Linked DNA regions of Callithrix jacchus. The protein of the gene in region 1 purifies or fractionates together with the protein of each later gene. This does not show direct contact. Links are inferred from orthologs where the notes say so. Each region holds a gene or a part of one and is shown on either strand. Other genes may lie near its edges.

Region 1 (11,147 bases):
CATGAATGGCTCATACTCTAAATGCTGTATCAAAACCTGCTTTTGGCGCACATGTTCTCAGGATCTCCTGAGGGTTGTATCAAAGGAAATAAAAAAGAAAGAAAAGAAAAACTTGATTTCTGTCACTCATCCACAAGCCTTGTGTTTTGAGTTTCCTGTGGAATAATTCAAGTAGATGTGTCCAGAAATAGATCGCATATAACAATCTAGAACTAAAAACAGAGATATAGGCCGGGCATGGTGGTTCATGCCTGTAATCCCAGCACTTGGGGAGGCTGAGGTGGGAGGATCACAAGGTCAAGACATCGAGACCATCCTGGCCAATATGGTGAAACCCCATCTCTACTAAAAATACAAAAATTAGCTGGGCGTGTTAGGGTGGGGGGAAGCTGAGGCAAGGTAATCACTTGAACCTGGGAGGCAGAGGTTGCTGTGACCCAAGATCATGCCACTGCACTCCAGCCTGGTGACAGAGCTGGAGCTCCATCTCAAAAAAAGAAAAAAAGAGAGATGGTTTTGGGGTCACCATCAGAGAGCTGGTCACCAAATCCTCGGGAGACAGAGGATCCTAACAGGCAGAGGGTGGAAGACAGAGAGATAAGTGCCAACCACAGAGTCCCTGGAATGCAAACAGTGATGGTGGGAAGAACAAAAGCACAGGGATTCTTGGCCTTCAAGAGAAGAGTGGTCAACAGCATAGACGGCCACCATCAGGTCAAATAAGATAAGGGCTTTGGATGTGGCAATAAAGTGGTAGCTAGTGGCCTGAAAAAGAGTGATTTTAGTCAAGTGGTAGTATGGGAGCCAAACTGTAAAGGAGTTAAAGAGATCATGGAAGGCTGGGTGTGGTGGCTCACGCCTGTAATCCCAGCACTTTGGGAGGCTGAGGCGGGCAGATCACAAGGTCAGGCGTTCGAGACCAGCCTGGCCAACAGGGTGAAATCCCTTCTCCACTAAAAATACAAAAATTAGCTCGGCATGATGGTGCACGCCTGTAATCCCAGATACTCAGGAGGCTGAGACAGGAGAATTGCTTGAATCTGGGAGATGGAGGTTGTGGTAAGCTGAGTTCACACCACTGCACTCCAGCTTGGATGACAGAGCGAGACTCCATCTCAAAAAAAAAAAAAAAGAGATAATGGAAGTAGTCTGCCTGCTTACACAATTGCTACTCCACTCCCCCTTCCTCACAGCGCTGAAACTCCAATGTGCATATGAATTACCTGGGCATAATGTTATCATGCAGATCTGATTTAGTAGGTCTGAGGGGGGCCTGAGCTGTGTTTGCAGCTCAGCCCTAATAAGCTCCCCTGGGGTGTTACCAAAGATACTCAGGTGTAGATGAAAATGAGTTCTTGGGGTCTTAGATTCACATCAGAAAAACACTGCAAAGAAACGCTAAAGAAAACTTCTCATCTGTCTCGTTCTTTCCTGCATATATGTGTCATTTAAAAGTTTACTTTTTTTTTTTTTTGAGATGGAGTCTTGCTGTATTGCCCAGGCTCACTGCAGCCTCCATCTCCCAGGTTCAAGAGATTCTCCTGCCTCAGCCTCCCGAGTAGCTGGGATTACAGGAGCCCACCACCATGCCCAGCTAATTTTTGTGTTTTTCATAGAGATAGGATTTCACCATGTTGACCAAGATGGTCTTGAACTCCTGAGCTCAAGTGATCCTCCTGCGTTGGCTTCTCAAAGTGCTAGGATTACAGGAGTGAGCCACTGTCCCTAGCCTAAAAGTTTCTTAAATCTCAAATATATGAGACTTTTCTAGTTAACTTTTTGTTATTTTTCTACTTTAATTGCAATAGGTCCAAGAATACACTAACGTTAAAGTCCTTTAAAAAACTTGTTGAGTGTTGCCTGTGGCTAAGAACGTGGTCAGTTTTTGTAAATGTTCCATGAGTGATTGAAGATAACATATTCTACAACTGTTGGGTGCAGTGTTTTGTCTATTAGGTCAGATCTGTTAATCAGGTTGACAGGTCTTCATATTCTATTGATTACTAAAAGGAGATGTGTAAAAATCTCCAGTCTCCCTACCAGAAAAGGCTTTCCTCCTCACCTCAGTCCACCTTATTCATGATAAGCAAAATATTTGCAGACCCAGCCCTTACCCTAATGGAACTGACAACCTAAGAAGACTTTCCAGGCTGGGTGTGGTGGCTCGCACCTGTAATCCCAGTACTTTGGGAAGCTAAGGCAGGCAGATCACAAGGTCAGGAGTTTGAGACCAGCCTGGCCAACATAATGAAACCCCATCTCTACTAAAATACAAAAATTAGCTGAGCATGGTGGTGCGTGCCTGTAGTCCTAGCTACTCGGGAGGCTGAGGCAGGAGAATTGCTTGAACCCAGGAGGCGGAGGTTGCAATGAGTGAAAATCACGCCACTGTACTCCAGCTTGGGCAACAGAGTGGGACTTCATCTCAAAAAATAAAAATAAGGCCACTTGTGGTGGCTCACACCTGTAATCCCAGCACTTTGGGAGGCCGAGGCAGGTGGATCACAAGGTCAAGAGATCGAGACCAGCCTGGTCAACACGGTGAAACCCTGCCTCTACTAAAAATACAAAAATTAGCTGGGCATGGTGGCACTCACCTGTAGTCCCAGCTACTCCGGAGGCTGAGGCAGAATCGCTTGAACATGGGAGGTGAAGGTTGCAGTGAGCCAGGATGGCACCACTGCACTCCAGCCTGGCAACAGAGCGAGAATCCATCTCTAAATAAATAAATAAGACTTTCCTGATCACCAAGACATCCCCAACCCTACCTCATACCTGGCACTCCTTCTCCTTCCTCAGTTCTTACAGCATTCACTGCATGTACAAACAATTTGACACTTACATAATCTGTCTTTATCACAATTATTTGAGTTGATAATTTACTCCTGTAAGATTTTAAATTCCATGTGGGTGAAGCTTATCTTATTCTTTTATAAGTTTTATTGAAATATAATTATTGACATACCATAAAATTCACTCTTTGGAAGCATACAATTCAGTGAGAGACTATCTTATTTATTCTGGCATCATCTATAGCTGTGATTCCGGTCTTGGGTACACATTGGAATTACTAGAAGAGCTTTGAAAAATCCTTCAGTCTGGCCAGGTGCGGTGGCTCACACCTGTAATCCCAGCACTTTGGGAGGCCAAGGCAGGTGGATTACCTGAGGTCAGACATTCAAGACCAGCCTAACATGGTGAAACCCTGTCTCTACTAAAAATACAAAACTTAGCCAGGTGTAATGGCAGGCACCTGTAATCCCAGCTACTCGGGAGACCGAGGCAGCAGAATCGCTTGAACCCAGGAGACGGAGGTTGCAGAGAGCTGAGATGGAGCCACTGCACTCCAGCCTGGGCGACAGAGCATGACTTTGCCCCCTGCAAAAAGAAAAAAAAAAAAAAAAATCCTTTAGTCTGGATCTCACCTCCAGAGGTTCTGGCTTAAATGGTTTGGGGTGTGGCCTGGGAATGGGAATTTTTTAAAGCCCCTAGGGTGATTTTAACTTGGAGCCGGGATTGTCCTAGAATGCTCTGTACATAGCAGGCACTCAACAACGGTTTCTTGTAATAATCAATTAGCTTTAACTTCTAGTATCCAGTTAATTAACTCACTCAAGAGTGGCCGTCTGTCATCAGCCCTTATCACATAATGGTCTGCTTATGTCTGTCTCCCCAACTCAGCAGGAAAGGAACACGTAGAAAAGGTAAGTTCAAAAGGAATGTATGTCCCAAGAATTGTGTGCGACATATCCCCAAATTTCCACATTCAAAAGTCAGGGATAATATAATTTTCATCCGGGAATCAGTAACTCATGGAAAAGCTCAAAATGTCATTCATTTTGGAGATCAGATGTAAAGGAGTAGTACGGGTACTTTGTCTCAGGGTGGAAAGTGTCTTTTTTTTTTTTTCTTCCCATGGGACTTGTTGCACTCCTAAAATGGCGGCAGGGCAGTCAGGTTTGCTTGCATAGCTGTGAACCACACTAAGGCAGGGATCGTTCTGGTCTTATCCGTTATGGCATCCCCTTGTGGCACATGTTAGGTGTTCAATAAATATTGGTGGAATGGATGTGACTACATTTTACTCCACAGTATGTAAATATGATTTTAACTGGACAGGGAGCTGCACAAGTTTCCCATATTGATCCTTTTTGCAATCTTAATTATGGTACTTGAGCTGGGATATTGCCTAAACTGCCTGGGCTACACAACAAACTCTGAAGGGGTTTTACTTCCAAGTCCACGGTGGTTGAGGGTTCGGGTTCTGTGAATGCTGGAAGCTCACGTGAGTAGCGGAGTGTCGAGGATGGTCACTCTCGGATAAATGAATACAGGATTCTTGCGGCTATGAGCGGTCGCCCGGCGAGGTCGGTCATCCTGCCTGTCCGGTAACTCCACGAAACACCTGCCACTGACACCTCCTCACCAGCTCCCGAGGGTTCGCGCGGGTATCCGGAGCCGTGCCCCCTGGTCCGCCGCAGCCGGATTCCCTCCTGGGCGGGTTACGCCCCAAGACGCAAAGCGAAACCACTCCACATCAAGACTGCAAAGTAAAACCGGTCGCACCAAAGACAGGCAGCGTTATTTAGACAGTCAGCTACTCCCCTAGAGCTTCCACCCAGTCCCCTGGGCCCGGCGCCCAGCGCGCAGACGGTGGCCGGCTCCAGGAGCTCCAGCTCCCTCCACGTGTCCTGTCTTCCCAGCAGCCTCCTCTGCAACCTCGGGAGGAAAACCTCCTGACAACTCGCGGTCTGCGGACTACGACTCCCAGGAGGCACCGCGCCGCGGCTCTCTCCGCCCCGCCCTCTCCCGGATACGCAGGCGCCTTGGGCTCCGTCAACAAGCGGGGCTGGCGTCGCCTGGATTTAGTTTCTTCTGGGATTTGTAGTTTTTCTGGAGCTACCCGGGCCGACCGTCAGAGGGACAAGAACTACAAGTCTCGGCGGCCCCAGCGCTACGAGCCCGATCACGTGGTGAGGGCCGACCGGGCGTGCGTGCCGCCGTTGATCCGGTGCTGCAGTGAGGAGGTGGTTCTCGCCCGTGTTGTGTGTGTGTGTGTGTGAGTGAGAGAGCGAGTGAGTGAGTGAGTGAGTGTGTGTGTGGGGGGGACTCAGCTTGTTGTTGTCGGTGACTTCCCCCTCCCCTCCACCCCTTCCCCTCCCCGCCGCCGCTGCAGTGGCCGCTTCCTGGGCCGTAGGAAATGAGCGATAACGATGACATCGAGGTGGAGAGCGACGTGAGTCCTGGGGCTTCTTCCTTCCAGTGCGGGTTGTCAGGCGGGGACAGCGGCCGGGGCTCTCAGCGGGGCGACGGCGGGAGGGGACCGGGCCGCCGCCGCATCCTTCCCCTTCCCCTTGGGGCCAGGACTGTCTGCGTCGCGTTCCCGGTTCGCTCCGCTCCGGCTCCTGGCTGGAGCGGCCTCCTGGGACTGAGGTGGGGGAAAGACACGCGGCCTCTGGGACCCCTCCCTTCTCCGGCGAGGGAGGGTGCTGCGGCCTCCCCCTCCCATTTTCCCCCGGTCAGGATTCGGGGGACAAAGATGGGGGGCGCCTGGGATCCCATTGTCCGGATCCAGGCGAAGGGGACTGTGCTCAGGAACTGCCCCTTCGGATCGCGATTCTCTCCTCCCATGACCCGCGGATCCTGGGGGGCGAGGAAGGGCGGAGAGGGGTTGAGGGTGCCTAGATGCCCGAGCTGGGTCTGCAGGGAAGAGACAGTGCTCGGGACCCCTCTGGCCCCGGTCGGATCCCGGAAGGAGGGGCGGCGCTCGGGACCCCTCTACCTTGCTACCGGATCCCGCTGAGGGTGGAAGGGTGGGGGCAAGGGGTGGGGAGGGAGGAAGGGGTGTCGGGCTGACTCCCCACCCGCCGCTTCCTCTGCCGCCGGCATTTTCTTTCTTATTACTGAATGTTAAGTGTAAAAATAACTTCTATATTTTCTATTTTTTTTTTCTCTCTTATTCCAGGAAGAGCAACCGAGGTTTCAATCTGCGGTACGTCTCCTACTCTCCATTTCATTTTTATTTCCGTTCAGTTCTATTCTTTTTGGGGTCAGAGAGAAAAAGAGATCGTTCTATTACTTTTAATATGGTAGTAAACCCTAATGTTAACCATTAAGGTGAGGCGGGGCCTGGTTCTGGAGGGCGGGGGTGTTGCAGATCCCATAATTCTAGATGCTCAGGTGATAAGTTCAGTGACTCTAGGTGACTGAGAGGAGCTGTATGCAAAGAATTGAATTGTTCTGTAGTTTTCAGATAGGGGATTCAGCTGCCACTATATAAGTGGAAATGAGAAATGCAGCATTTTGAAGTCGTTGGTAGTATTACTTAAGGGCAAAGTGGTTAGAAGATTTACTTAGGACCAGGTAGGTTTTAAACCATATCTGCATAATTGTGTGAAGCTGAAGCCACATGTAATAATCGCCTTTAACCAAGTCATGTGACTGCTGTAGACCCGTAGAATCTAGCACAACATGGTATTTTAGTGCAAAAATTGGAAATGTAGAAGAGCCAAAGGTTGCATCATGAGAGTGTCACATACGGTTGTTATGGTCTGACTCTGTATTTGAAGAAGAGGTATAAAGAAAACTAAAAAATAGTTGAAGAAAAGTGGCACTGCAGAGACAGCTTTGCTGAAAGGTGATGAAACCATGCAATTTTATCAATAATTTCTTAGGGTTTTGATATTAATGTTCTCAGTAGATGGTTCTGTGGATTTAGATAAGACTAATTTCATGTCTTTGGAGTCTGAGACAGTAATAAGGGTGTTTCATGAATAGATTAGAGGGAAAAAATAATACACATAGAATAAATCAGAATCAGAGAGGGGAAGAGAAGTGTATCAGAGTGTCTAAAATTTGACAGTTGGGAACAGTAAGAAGTGTATAGAATAGGGGTTAAAAAATTCTAATGCTCATGGGGGGCTGTCAAGAGTAAAGAAGAGGGAAGAGGTGAAGACTTGGGGTACTGGAGGGCAATGCCTCCTCTAAAAAGTCAGCCACTACTAAATTCCAGTGGTTTGTTATGTAGGAGTGCAGGATCAGTATTGCCAGATCTTCCTGTTTTTAAGAAAGATGGCCAGGCATGGTGGCTCACACCTGTAATCCCAGCGCTTTGGGAGGCAAAGGTGGGAGGATCACCTGAAGTCAGGAGTCCAAGACCATCCTGGTGAACATGGTGAAACCCCTGTCTCTACTAAAAATACAAAAAATTAGCCAGGCATGGTGGCAGGTGCCTGTAATCTCAGCTACTCTGGATGCTGAGGCAGGAGAGTTGCTTGAACCCAGGAGGCAAAGGTGACAATGAGCCATTACACTCTAGCCTGGGAGACAGAGCAAGACCCCATCTCAAAAAAAAAAAAGAAATCCAAACTTTATATGTTCATTTTTCTGATTTTTAATATGTGTGGAACAACTCTTTGGGGGCTTGTTAGAATTTGCAGGATCTTACTTTGATGCCTCTGGTATAAGAACTTAATAACCACACGATAAAGGCAGGCCATCTCGGTTGTACCTGCTCTTCATTAGAGCAAGCAAAGATTGTACAGTTTGTCTAAGCAGATGGGTATTAAGAAAACTTATTTATTGAGAGCTGATATTTCCATAAGATCCGAGGATGTAGTTGTTCCAGAAGTCTTAAAAATTATCCCTGGATAATAGTCATTAAGAATAATTTGTTTTGTTTTATTTATCTTTGAAGTATTCTCATATACATATATTTGAAAATCGAATTCCTTTTTTTAATTTACTTTTACTCTTCATGTTTGGGGCCTAGTCTTTTTAAAACTTTTTTTTTTTTTTCCCCTGCAAGTCTCCAGTTGTAAAATCTGCCAGGGCTTAATCAGGGTTGGAGGGTAAGGATCGTTTAGGCCTCCTTTGCAGAATTATCCTTTGAATTGAAATTATATTGACTTCCCAGTAAGAGAAAAGGGTTCTTTTTTTGGTGACATTTTGGTTCACAGTTCTTGAAAGCTTCTGCTTTTCAAAATATTTGTCCACATGAGTGTTGATGTAAATTTGTTTATGAAATTATTGCTGTGTTTCGGCTTTCCTGGAATGCTAATCTCATTGTTTTGTCTAGATATTTTTAGTTTGCTATTAAGGTGCCTAGAATTTTTCCTTTTGATTTTGAGGGTAGGCAAGGGAAGTTGGTTTGACACTTTGTTTTTAATTTAACACATCTATTTATTGAGAGTTCTAAGTATTATCCCGCATAGTATAACTATAACAGCATGGAGAGAAAAAGCATATGTGTTAGACAGATTTTTTAGTATATCAAACAACTATTGTGAATGTGTAGGGTAAAAAGGATTCCATTTTTCCCCCTCTGTGAATGCATCTGCTTACTTCTCAAGATTTAATATAGATAATAAATAGATATATTTTTTAATTTGGGAGAAAACCATTCTTAAGTTTAGCCTTAGAAAAAAGGTTTAAAAAAAATGTGGACTGTGAACAACCAAATGCTTAGGTATTTAGGACTACAGAAGAAATTGAAAAAAGTTATTTGAAAAAGGTTCTGTGGATCCTAATAGAAAAACATTCATGTGTGTTTTCTAATGTTGCTATGATATCTAGGCCTTACTGCATGAGAAATGGAAGATACTGAGAACAGAGTTAGGAAGTTAGGCTAACTCTAACAGAAAGTGAAACCGATTTGGCAAATATTTTTTTATGTTGCAGTACAAATGGAAAACAGCTTCTCCAATGACCCAAGGAAGTAATCCCAAAGAGTATTCTTATTGCTAAATTCGACACATCACAGAATCCCACTGATGTTATCTTATTTTTATTATATTTTGGAGGGAAATAGTTGTATTTTAAAGATAAATTTCTGGGGCAGATATATTATATGCAAGGACTTCCTTTTGCTTTATTTCCGTTTGGGAAATTTCTTTAGGAAAGAGTGAAAATATACAAGAAATGTATGGGTTAATGTGTTGGTCAGGAAATGCAAGTTTTTTTTTTTCCAATCGCCGCCGTCCTTCATGGCATCTGAATGAGTTGCAGTTGCAGTATACCTATTAGGGGTTTGAAAACAGATCTATGCAATTTCACTTCTGGACTTTATTGGTATGAAATATGTTTAACTTTGTAGAGCTCTTTGCTTCTTTAGGAATTCAGGAGAGAACAAGCTTGGTCTGCTTTGAGATTGGAATTCACTCAGGAACCTTCAGTCTGTTTTACCTGCAGTCAGTTGCATGGCAGAAGGGCTGCACGATGCATGTACTTTTTCTCTGCTTAGAGTGTTGACAGTGAAAACAGAAATGCCAAAGTTAGTTCCTAAACGTGCCTATGTTAGAGTAAAACTTGGTCTTATGTCTAAAAGAATTTTTTCAAGATGCCAGTAATGGTGAAATAGTTGGTCAAAGAATTCAACTTGGTTTTTAATTAAAATTTCCTAACCAAGGCATCCTTCTCTGAAATGGCTGTAGTATGAGGCCCTGTTTGGATAAGAGCATTCCACAGTTCTTTTAGGCACCAAATGAAAAAAGTTTTGAAAACAAATACATATATTAGATAATGTTGGAAATATATACCAGGTAATCAGCTACAAGCAGGACAGGTATTGGAAAATTAAAATTGATGTCTTTCTGTTAGGGAGCTTGGTGAGTTTATCCCATTCTGGCTGCCCATTCTTTTATAATTTTGGGGTTGATTCAAATGAATATTTTAAGTTGCTTAGAAATCAAACTTTATCCTATCTGATCCTTATCTAACAGAAGTAAGAAATAGATCTTTTCTGATGAGAATTTTGGGCCTGTGTATTCTCAGTTATCCTTAATCTCTAATGAGAATAGCTTGATAGGAATCAAGAGCAACACTAGCTTCCCTCTATAATACAACCTTCACATTTTGTAAAGATAGTAAATATTTCATGAGCAACTAATTCTCTATATGCTGAGAATTTTCCGTATTAGAATTGAGATGATTCCCCTTATAGGTAGGGTTAGCTGTCAGGTAGCCTGCAAGACATAGCATTGTTCTGGAGAACCTTGTGCATCCTGGAATAATGAGCCATTTGTTTCCCCATGCTGTTTGCCTAGAACTTGGAGGAAATAAGTTTACTGACTGATGTGATGCCTTGAACAAAGATGCAGTCTCTGTGCAGGAAGTTGGAAGGAAATAATTTTAAGAGATTTCCCTCAATTTTGAATAGACCTCCTTAGTTTAGATGACTTCTTGGCTAGTGTAACAACTTCTTGGCTAACAAAATAATGTTTGCCTTCAACATCTAACAACATTTAAGATACATGTGCTTGGTAGTGTCAAAGGTGGACAAATTGTAGGTGGAGATTTTTATTCTGGCTACCAGTGTGGAAAGTTGGGTAGAAATGTAAAGGAGAGGCTGAATAAAAACCTTGGCAGAGATGTCAAAGCTGGAAGTGATTTGGTGTGGGAGTGTCTGTTGAGCATCTGTGGATCACTGTATAGCCCCTTAGTGTTTCTGTTAGGGATGCCCTGGAGGAAGGGTTTTCTGGCAGAAGTCGATATATACAAATCCAGTATACTTGAAGAGCAGGCAGCGTGGAGCCACTGTTCCCATAGGATGTGTAGGGGAGTCTGCTGTATAGTCCAGGAATACCTCTGTTGTCTCCTAGAATAGGGCCTAATTAAGTCCACAAAGGGGCTTTTCGTACCATTCGTTTTTATTATTAAACATCATTCTCAGTACAGGCTCATCTGAGTAGAGTTTTTTTTTGTTCAAGACGATTGTTTGGCCCCGTTTTTTAAAACCAGTATTGTGGGAGGATACTAGATGCCTTACACTGGGAGTCTTCACCCAGTTTTTCTTCTTCAACTCTGAAATCTTGGCCCTCTCAAAAAGGGTTGCCAGCAAGTGAAGACAGTTAACAAGGCAATGATAAAGCCTGCAAGCCAGCCCTCCAGTGGGGGTGAGGGTGAGGGTGAGGGTGAGGTGCAGGCAGTGTTATCCGGCTGGGTGGATCTGTGGTTTGGAAATGTTTTCCAAAGAGCATTCTCAGCCTTGTGTAAAGGTTTTTCGGTTTTTTATGTGCTCTTTCAAAACACCAGTGATATCATTTAATTCAGATTTGCCTGGAATTAGGCTTGTCAGTTATGCATGTTTTTAACTTGCTCTTTTAAATCAGGTTTGGGGAAGAGAAAATATATCCTCGCCATTGTCTCTG
Region 2 (10,907 bases), on another chromosome or scaffold:
CAAAGCGCATGCCCCATTCTGCCCTAGCACCATTTTGCCCCAGGAAGCACACACAAAAACAGTGCTGGAACTGGGAAATATTAGAATTTCTGTGCTGGGAACTGTGACTGTATACCATGCAAGACCATGGCGGACAAGGCCAAGGGTATAATGGCTAAAGTCCTGGTATTCGAGTCCCCATGCAACTGGAGCAAACTTCTCTGAGCCTCCGTACACTCTTCTACAAAGTATTCTTTTTCTGTTTTTTTTTTTGAAACAGGGTCTCACTCTGTTGCCCAGGCTGGAGTGCAGTGGTGCAATCTCGGCTCACTGCAACCTCTACCTCCCGGGTACAAGTGATTCTCCTGCCTCAGCCTCCTGAGTAGCTGGGATTACAGGTAGGCACCAACACACCTGGCTAATTTTCATATTTTTAGTAGAGATGGGTCAGGCTGGTCTCAAACTCCTGACCTCAAGTGTTCCTCCTGCCTCAGCCTCCCAAAGTGCTGGAACTACAGGCGTGAGCCACCACACCTGGCTTTCTATAGAGTATTCTTGAAATAGCTACCTCACAGGGAGACGTGTGAAAAGGCACCTGTAGTTTACAGTTCACTCCGTTAGTTTTTTCTTCCTCTGTTGTGCTGCTATTGTGTGTTAGACATACTCTAATTTAGTTCTTATGCTTTCTGATTATGAGTCTCCACCAGGCTGGAACAAGGTAAGGCCCCATCAGATTCAGTCCTCCCCTCAACACCTACCCTACTGCTCGGCACCTGAGAGATGCTCATACAGAAGTGCAAAAGGCCAGGCCCGGTGACTCACGCCTGTAATCCCAGCACTTTGGGAGACCAAGGCAGGCGAATCACCTGAGATCAGGAGTTTAAGACCAGCCTGGCCAGCATGGCAAAACCCCATCTCTACTAAAAATACAAAATTAGCTGGGTGTGATGGTGCATGCCTGTAATCCCAGCTACTCAGGAGGCTTCAGCAGGAGAATCGTTTGAACCCAGGAGGCAGAGGTTGCAGTGAGCTGAGATCATGCCATTGCACTCCAGCCTGGGAAACAAGAGCGAAACTCCGTCTAAAAAAAAAAATGTGCTAAAGATTATGTCTCGGGGAAAAGCCAGGTCACAGGTGAGGATTGTGCCATTTCCCTGACTCTCCCCAGCTCTGTGCTCATGCTCTTTGTTTAGCCTGGAGCACCTGCTACCCCCGTCCTGATCCACACCCCACCTTTACTTGCCCAACCCCATCTCTGGCTATAGAGAATCTAGTAGTCCTTCAAGAATCTTCCCAAAGATCTGAATGCCAAATGAATTAATCAGTTGTGGAGTCAAAAAGCCTGCCTCTACCACTGCCTACCTAGGACCTGGTAAATTTTTGTAATTCTGCCTATCTTAATTTTGCTGATCTGTAAATTGGGCAGAAAAATATCTATCTTTCAGTTTTGATATGAGATTTACATAAGCAATAGTATGAGGAATGCCAAACACATAGCAGATGCTGAATAAATGCCTTGAAAATGGCCATTTCTAACAGCTCTGGGAAATTCTCCATTCCTCAACAGTACACCGTCTCCTCAATACCTCCGCTAGGTTTTTTTTTTTTCTCATCATTTACTTAGCAAATATTAACTGAGCATGTTTTATTTGCCACTGCTGTGCTAGATGATTGAGATACAAAGATTAGAAGCCAGGCATGGTGGCTCTCACCTATAACTCCAGCACCTTGGGAAACTGAGGCAGGAGGGTCGCTTAAGGTAGGGAGTTAAAAAGAAAAAAAAATTAGCTAGGCATGGTGGCACCTGTACTCCCAGCTACTTGGGAGGCTTAGCTGGGAGAACACTTGAGGCCAGGAGTTTGACCCTACAGTGAATTATGATCATGCCACTGCCCTCCAGTATGGTTGACAGAAAAAAAAAAAAAGATTAGAGAAGCCTCTGACCTCATAGTCTAGTGGGGAACCAGCTTCCTTGGGAAGCTTTCCCTGCCTCACCTCGCCCACCTCAGGCTGGGTAAAAACCCCCAGTCTAACCAATTGTTTCCCTCCAACCCCGTACATATCACAGTGTATTGCCTTTTTATTTCAAACACGTGCTGGTCTCTGTTCCAATCACAGCAGCCTGTGTCCATTAATCCATTTAATCCTCACAACAACCTTATCAAGTAAGTATTGTCATTATTTGCCTTTTCCAGACAAGGAGACTGAGGCACAGACAGATTAAGTAACTGACTAATAAGGTCTTCTAGTTTATAAGTAGAAGCAGCCAAGATTTGAAAACACACCTTCTAGCTCCAGCTTAATTAACATGCTCTGTTTACTTATCTGTCCCCACTGAAATTGGAGGTTGAACCCATGGCATATTCAAATGAGTAAATATCTCCTGTACCCACCCCATTACCTGACACAATAAGTCAACAATAACTCATTCATCAAACAGGAGGAAAGGAGGAAGGAAGGGAGGGAGGGAGGGAGAGAGGAAGGGAGGGAGGGAGGAGAGAAGTAAAACAATTCCACAGAGGTTTGGTTACCCACATTTACTAAGCATCAACACTGACCAGCCTGTGCCATGAATAAATGAAGCCTGGGTGTGGTGGCTCATGCCTAAAATCCCAGCGCTTGGGAGACCAAGGTGGGAAGATGGCTTGAGCCCCAGAGTTCAAGACCAGCCGGGGCATATACTGAGACCTTTTCTCTACTAAAATTAAAATTAAAAATTAGCCAGGCGCAGTGGCTTATGCCTGTAATCCCAGCACTTTGGGAGGCAGAGGCAGGAGGATCACCTGAGGTCAGGAGTTTGAGACCAGCCTGACCAACATGGAGAAACTCCATCTCTACTAAAACTACAAAATTAGCCGGGTGTGGTGGCGCATGCCTGTAATCCCAGCTACTTGGGAGGCTGAGGCAGGAGAATCGCTTGAACCGGGAGGCGGAAGTTGCACTGAGATGAGCTCACACCATTGCACTCCAGCCTGGGTGACGAAAGCAAAACTCCACCTCAAAAGAAAAGAAAAGAAAGAGAGGCAGGCAGGAAGGAAGGGGAAGGAAGGGGAAGGAAGGGAAGGGAAGAAAGGAAAGAAAGAAAAAGAAAGAAAGAAAGAAAGAAAAAGAAAGAAAGAAAGAAAGAAAGAGAAAGAAAGAAAGAAAGAAAGAGAGAGAGAAAGAAAGATTAGCTGGGTGCAGTGGAGCGCGCCTGTAGTCCCAGCTACTCTGGAGGCTGAGGTGGGAGGATTGCTTGAGCCTGGGGATTCGAGGCTGCAGTGAGCTGTGACCACACCACTACACTTCAGCCTGGGAGACAAAAAAAAATTATTTTTTAAAAAAGAGAATAAATGAACATCTGTGCAGCTCAGAACTTTCAGTTATCAGCGTCGAGAATTCCAGGCGGGCGCTGCGTTTTCCCCGGCTGCTGCTTTCTATTCTCTCACCCCCGTCCCCTTCCTCTAAAATCCAGCTCCACCTCTTCTTTTTCCTTTGCCGTCCTCTCCGTGAACACCGCGGTCCGGGTTTTCAAGGCTCCGGCAGCCAGGAGAGGATCGCTGCGTGGGAGCGTTCCGGCCGCGGAGGGCATGCGCGGGGGGCGGTACAGTGCGCATGCGGGAAGATGGCGGTCCAGGCGACCTGAGAGGCGCGGGTTTCCCTCCTCCTGTCTCGTCTGCGGCCGGAGCTCCAGGGCACGTGAAGCCGTGGCGCGTTTTCCCGCAGGCGGGACGGCCTAGCCGGGCGGCGCCTCGGAGCAGGCCGCAGACCCGTTAAGTGCTGGGCCCTTGGAAATCGGCGCTTGGGGGGCGGCGCTCGAGCTAGGCGCGAGAGGGCGGGAGAGCTCTCGGGGTGCGAGGGGAGCGGGACGCCCGGCTGGGCAACATGAGTCAGCAGCGGCCAGCGAGGAAGTTGCCCAGTCTCCTACTGGACCCGGCGGAGGAGACAGTTCGCCGTCGGTGCCGAGACCCTATCAACGTGGAGGGCCTGCTGGTAAGCGCCGGGACGGGACGGGCGCGGGCGGGGGTCTCCCAGATCCGGCCCCCTCCTCCCCGCGCTGCCGCCAACCCCTCGGGTCGTCGTCTCGGTCGTTTGCTCCCCCTGGACCAGGCGCTGCCCGTCACGTGCTGCGAACTGCGCTCTCCCGCCTTTCTGGTTTCAGCGCCTGCTCGCAGACGTGGTGTCAGTCTTCTTCCCTTTTACGTCGGAACTTGAGGGCACTGTTGGAGAAAATTGCTCAACTTTGCATTAGAAAATCCATGTTTTTCTCCTTCTTCCAACTCTAGCTGTACCTCTGCAACCTATCATTTGTTCTCTTCTGCCTCCTCTCCCATCCTTTTACTCTACTGCAGCCGTTTAAAACCTTGTCCACGCTTCATATTTCCCACGTCACAGCTCCCGTTCAGCACATTATCTCCCCACCTGTTTGACAGAGAAAATGTTTAGGAGATTTGGCTCCCCTTCCTGCCAAAGCTGATTTTTTATACTCTTGTTCTCGACCAGCAGTTTTACTCTCTGCAGTTTTCAGGGCCCTTAACAAATGCATCCTTTTCCATTTCTCTCGTATTTTCTTTTTCTTTCTTTTTTTTTTTCTTATCCTTTTTCTTTCTTTCTTTCTGGGTTTTCTTTCACCCCCGAGATGGAGTTTTACTGTTGTTGCCCAGGCTGAAGTGCAATGGCGCAATCTCAGCTCACTGCAACCTCCGCCTTCCAGGTTCAAGCGATTCTCCTGCCTCAGCCTCCCAAGTAGCTGGGATCATAGACATGCGCCACCACACCTGGCAAATTTTTGTATTTTTAGTAGGGATAGGGTTTCACCATGTTGGCCAGGCTGGTCTCGAACTCCTACCTCAGGTGATCCACCCGCCTCGGCCTCCCAAAGTGCTGGGATTACAGGCGTGAGCCACTGCCCCCAGCCTCTCCCCATAGTTTTCATTTCTTTGCTGCTTTCTTCCTATAACTACTAGTAATTAAACATTTCCCAAGCCATTAATTCTGGTCCCCATGCCAAATAGTTTGTGATCATTGCCTAATTTCTCGCAGCAGTGTTTTATAATAAAAGATGATTATTCTTGTTTTACGGTTGCCAAAACAGACTTGGAGATGTATGTAATGCTGGCTTGCCTGTGGCTAGATAGTAAGTGGAGAAACTTGGGTTGAACCTCCAAGTTTCAACCAAATGATACATTCTTCACTACTAAAACTGCATTGTAAATCCATCCCCATCTTAAAAGATCACTCCCTTAATTGATCACTCCCATATTCCCTCCCATCTACTGTCTCTCTTCCCCTTCACAGCTAAACTTGAAAAAGTTATTTACACTCACTGTTACACTTGATCGTCCCTTATTACCACCTAACCCACTCCTGGGGACCCCTACCCTAAGCACACCTCTAAGAAGACCTTGCTAACTGACAATTTTGTCAGTTCCATCAGCTGTTGGGTTGTGAACAATCTTGTCATTTCCATCAGCTGTTGTAGTTTTGACACAACTCTCCCTTGAGTTTCCTTGACATTGATACTCCATCTGCTTCTCTGGCCTCTCCTTGTCCTCATCCTCTTCCCATTCCTTCATGTTGATTTTGTTTGTTTGTTTCTCCGGGACAGACTCTCACTCTGTCACCCTGGCTGGAGCGCAGTGCCATGATTATGGCTTACTGAAGCTTCGACCTCCCAAAGTGATCCTCCTGCCTCTGCCTCCCAAGTAGCTGGGACCATAGGCACATGCCACCACACCTGGCTAATTTTTAGTTTTTATTTTTAGAGATGGAGGCCTCCCTACAAGGCCCAGGCTGGTCTTGAACTCCTGGGCTCAAGCATTCTTCCCACCGCAGCTGGCCATATGTTGATGTTATTCGGGTTCTCTTCTACCATCTCTACACATTCTTCTTAGGGGAGTTCATTCACTCCTCCCATGACTTCTGTTACTATCTACATTTGATCCTTGACTCAGGGATTGGGGCACCAAATCCCATGAAATTCAAAATCTGAATATAATTTTGACTCCCTCAAACGTTTACTGTATCCTGGAAGCCTTACTGATAATGTAAACAGTTGATTAACACTTCTTTTATGTTTACCTGTATTAGATACTGTATTCTTATAATAAAGTAGCTAAAGAAAAGAAAATGTTATTAAGAAAATCATAAATAAGAGATAGCCTTTATTGAGGGGAATTAGATCATCGTAAAGGTCTTTATCTTGTCGTCATATTGAGTAGGCTGATGAAGAGTAAGAGGAGGAATTGGTTTTGCTAAATAAGGGGTGGTAGGGGGTGAAGAAAATTGACATATAAGTGGACCCACACATTTAAAACGTGTGTTATTTGAGAGTCAAACTGTGTATTGGTACCATCTGTATTGGTGGTCTTAAAATATGAGAATTTGATAAAAACTCAGCTCACTGTGGAAAAACCACTTCGCATGTAATATCAGCAGATAGAGACATCCCTTGAAATCTTAGACATATACTTCTGGTATTTTCAGTTACCATGTCACAATTCCCAAATCTATAAATCTCCCTCAGGGTTTTCCAACTGTCTGCTAGACTTTCCTTACTTAGGTTTCAAACTCCTGTTAATCCCCCCATCTGAGGTTTCACTTTCCTTGATTTTAGTTAACCTGTGGTCTCCCAAAATATTAAAATTTAAATGAAAATTTAAAATAAACAATTCATTAGTATTAAATTGCTTGCCATTTCAGCAGTGTGATGAAATCTCCAGATGTCCAGTACTACCCAGCACCCAAATCTTCCTTTGTCCAGAGTTCCCATGCTGTCTTTGCTCTCTGCCCTTAGTCTCTTAGTAACTGTCTCGATTCTCAGAACAACTGTCACCGTGCTTGTGTTCAAGTAACCCTTATTTTACTTAGTAATGGCCCCAACGCACAAGAGTAATGATGCTGGCAATTCCAGTATGCCTAAGAGAATTGATGAAGGTGTTTCCTTTAAGTGAAAAGATCTAAGTTCTTAGTAAGGAAAGAAAAAAATACCTTATTCTAAGGTTGCTAAGATCTACAATATAATAAGATATTTTGAGAAAGAGACCACATTCATAAAACTTTCATTGTAGTATATTGCTGTAATTGTTCTATTTTATTATTAGCTGTTAATCTCTTACTAGGCCCGATTTATAAATTAAACGTTATCACAGGTATGTATGAATAGGAAAAAAATAGTATACACAGGGGTTTGGTACTCTTTGTGGTTTTAGGTATCCACTGTGGTTTTAGATACACAGGGTGGACTACTGTATATCTAAAATTAAAGTTATTGCTGTATCGATCAGGGTTCTCCAGAGAGACAGAGCAATACTAATACAGATTTGGTACCAGGAATGGTTCTAGGGGAACAGAATTTTAAGGATGAGTTTCCTTAATTGGGATTTTTAGAACTGGTTCTTTAATCTGATTAGAACCTAAAAATGCCAAGGGCTCTACTTCTCATAGAGAGAGCACTGGTAGCCCTTGACTCGAACTGTTTATAGATATGCAGAATACATGCCTTTGACATTATAATTCACCACTTAGAAGAGGCAAATAATTGAGTGACACTTTCAGACATTTTTGGAAAAACAAGGATTATGATGGCGTTGGTTGGTTGCTCCTAGTGTCTTTAAACAACATGACGAAAGAAAAGGATGAGCTCGGGGATTCAGTTTCATGACTGGAGCGCTACATAAGTGACCTAAAAGTTTCTAAGTGTGCCCTGGGTTAGAGTTTTCTATCCTGTAGCCACAGGGCTGAAACTCCTGAAAATGAAACACAAGCCTTCATCGTGCAACTGGCATATCACAATGAAAGTTGAACTCTCTTAGCCTCGCGGAGCATCTACTGTTAAAGTGAGGGTATTGGTTGGGAAAGAGTGAGATCTCTGCAAGTTTGTATGGGATTATGTGGGAAGATGAGGCTGGACACATTGAGCCCCTAAATTCGGATGAGTCTTGTTTGCCAGAGGGGCAGTAGCATTTCCACCTACAGTGGTATCAGCCTTTCCATCCCTTTCTGGGGGGATTGATTCTGCATTGCCTGTGAAAATAGTAATGGCCTCCTCTGAAACATTGCTAGTTCCCAGCCAAGACAATGCTGATTCTCATCAGGACCCATCCCCACCACCCCTCTTTGCATCTAGACCTATAACTAGACCCAAGTCCCAACAGGCCTTTAAAGGTGAGGTGCAAGTATGACCCATTCCATTTCTAGTACCAAATATGTATTAGGTTTCTCTGGAGAGACAGAACCAATAGTGTGTATATATATATATATATATATACACACAATCATGTACTGCATGATTCGGTGAGTGGTGGACCACATATACGGAGGTAGTCCTGTGAGATTATGATAGAGCTGAACAATTTCTGTCACCTAGTGACATTGTGGCCATCATAATGGTCTTAACACCAAACATTACCTTTTCTATGTGTAGATGCACAAATACCATTGTTAGTTACCGTCGTCTGCAGTATTCAGTCAATCATATGCTATACAAGTTTGCAGCCTAGCAGCAATAGGCTATACCATATAGCCTGGGTGTGTAGTGGGCTATGCCATCTACGTTTGTTTAAACACTGTGATGTTCACACAACAAAATCACCTAATGATTCTAAGAAGATGCATGATTGCATGTGGAGATACGAGAGGGGATTTATTAGGGAAGTTGGCTCATGTTTATGAAAACTGAGAAGTCCCACACAGGCTGGCTGGCTGCAAGCTGGAAACCCTGGGATGCTGGTTACATGGCTCAGTCCGAGTCCATAGCATGAGAACCTTGGAAGCTGCTAGGGTAACTCCTGGAATCCAAAAGTCAGGGAGTCTGAAGTTGTCATCCAAGCACAGACCGGAAAGAGGGTCCCAGAGGATCTGGACTTCGAGAAGGGAGAAAATAGCCTTGGTTAGAGGTAGAACTTGGTCTGCATATTGAAAAATAAGGAAAACTGGAATGAGTGAGAATGTAATAATTTTGAGAATGGTATATTTCCAAAGACCTCTTGAAGGAATATTGGTCCCCAAAACAGAATTGGTACAGAGAAACATCTGTATACAGCGATGTCTAACCAGCTTGTAGGCACTGCTTTGCATTTTAGTCTTTGAAATTCACATTTTCTTTATTTCTTCCACCTTTGAAGAAGCTCTTCATAGCTACACATAAAAGTATACCTGTTTAGATAGGTGGTTTGGAGCAGTGGTGAAATAGCTTGGAACTTGAAAAAATACGCGGTCTTGCCGCAGAAGCTGCTGGCTCCAAGAGAGCTGTGTGCTCTGTCAGGGCCCGAGAGCAGCCTAGTGATTTTCATTTTGTAAATTTCTGCCTTCTGCATTCATTTTGCAGCTAACATGCAAACAATCTACCTACTTACCATCTTTCTATTTATCTGTATATGCTGTCTGCCCCTGAGGGGCAATGGTACTATTGTGATTCCTCAAGAGAGTGTTTTTATGCTCAAAGAGGAAAAAAAGAATGCTGTTGGAGACTGTTTTCCCACATATATCAATATAGCCAATATGTAGTGGAACTGCATTAATAGCAAAGAGTAGGGAAAACAAAGCCATCTTTTTTCGTATGCCTAATTGAGGTGTTATCCCTGTACCAGCCTGTGATCCACTGCCTAGATGAGATGGGTAGGGCGGTGTGGAGCAGAGAAGATGCCCCTCTAGAATGCGTAGGTAGGTAGTGAGGCAGCCTCTTTGGGAGCCAGTATGTAAGACCTGAATTAAGAACAGGAACCTCGAAGCCGGGCACTGTGGCTCAAGCCTGTAATCCCAGCACTTTGGGAGGCCGAGGCGGGTGGATCACGAGGTCAAGATATCGAGACCATCCTGGTCAAAATGGTGAAACCCCGTCTCTACTAAAGATACAAAAAATTAGCTGGGCGTGGTGGCGCGTGCCTGTAATCCCAGCTACTCAGGAGGCTGAGGCAGGAGAATTGCCTGAACCCGGGAGATGGAGGTTGCGGTCAGCCGAGATCGCGCCATTGCACTCCAGCCTGGGTAACAAGAGCGAAACTCTGTCTCAAAAAAAAAAAAAAAAAAAAAAAAGAACGGGAACCTCTACACCAAGGCACCTCTGAGCTTATATATAATAATTTAGGATATTTGTTTATATGTGTTTCAAATCAATATGATAAGGATGAATTTTTTTTCTTTTCATTCAAGAATCTTCTTACAATAGCTGGCCTGTCTCATACTGCTAGCAAGGGTAAAATGTAAAAATAGCAGTGGCAGTTGGTTGCACTTGTCTAGTGTCTGACTGTAGGACCACTTCAGAGTTTCACTGTTGGATACCGTGTTTGCAAGTCACCATTGTTACCACTGTTTGAGAGAGCTGGCCAGACACTGTCCCTGCCCCCAAGGCCAGCATTCCTGGCCCGTCTGTGTGTTCAGTTCTGACAACTAAGTTAATTTTACAGTGGGATTCTATCTTGATGGAAGTATTCCATATCAGGTTAATTTGCTGGTAGATGCTGTGGTCTTGTCATAGAGGGTAAGGAAATCATTGTGCCAAGAATATTGTTAATATTAACAAAGAGCTTCTTAACTGCTTACCTTGCCTTCAGGCCTGCTCATTTCCCAGTCCTTTGCTGTATTGCTGCCATACTTACATTTCTAAACCATTTACTTCATTATGTCCTAGTCTTGTTCAGAAACCTTTGGTAATTCTCTACTGGTTATGACATAAAGTCCAAACTCTTCAGCATGAGTTTTATGTGGTGCCAGCATACCCTCCCAGCTTCAAAATCAAGTCACTTTCACACTGACCACTTAGGTGGGTTCCCAGAAACATGCCGTATATATCTTCGCACCTTGGTTCATTTCCAGCACTACAATCCCGTCTGTTTCTTCTTTCCCCACAGTTGTTTATTCAGACAAATCCGGTTTGCTTGGCAAGGCCCACCTGGGGGCTACCTTTGCCATGAATCCTTCTGTGATTTCCCTGTCTGGGTATATCCATA

Evidence for each region.
Region 2: the proteins of MAX (region 1) and E2F6 purify together in Homo sapiens (affinity purification with mass spectrometry; 5 studies listed by BioGRID and IntAct, with this or other methods). This does not show direct contact. The link is inferred for Callithrix jacchus from reciprocal best matches to the Homo sapiens genes MAX and E2F6.

Annotation. Positions count from the first base shown.
Region 1 is NC_133509.1:99,767,310-99,778,456, reverse strand, and holds the start of MAX (protein max), read left to right. Parts: upstream 1-5,018; 5' UTR 5,019-5,200; coding exon 5,201-5,236; exon of another isoform or gene 5,237-5,433; intron 5,434-5,965; coding exon 5,966-5,992; intron 5,993-11,147. UniProt on the Homo sapiens protein: Transcription regulator. Forms a sequence-specific DNA-binding protein complex with MYC or MAD which recognizes the core sequence 5'-CAC[GA]TG-3'. The MYC:MAX complex is a transcriptional activator, whereas the MAD:MAX complex is a repressor.
Region 2 is NC_133515.1:103,579,123-103,590,029, forward strand, and holds the start of E2F6 (transcription factor E2F6), read left to right. Parts: upstream 1-3,564; 5' UTR 3,565-3,843; coding exon 3,844-3,951; intron 3,952-10,907. UniProt on the Homo sapiens protein: Inhibitor of E2F-dependent transcription. Binds DNA cooperatively with DP proteins through the E2 recognition site, 5'-TTTC[CG]CGC-3'. Has a preference for the 5'-TTTCCCGC-3' E2F recognition site.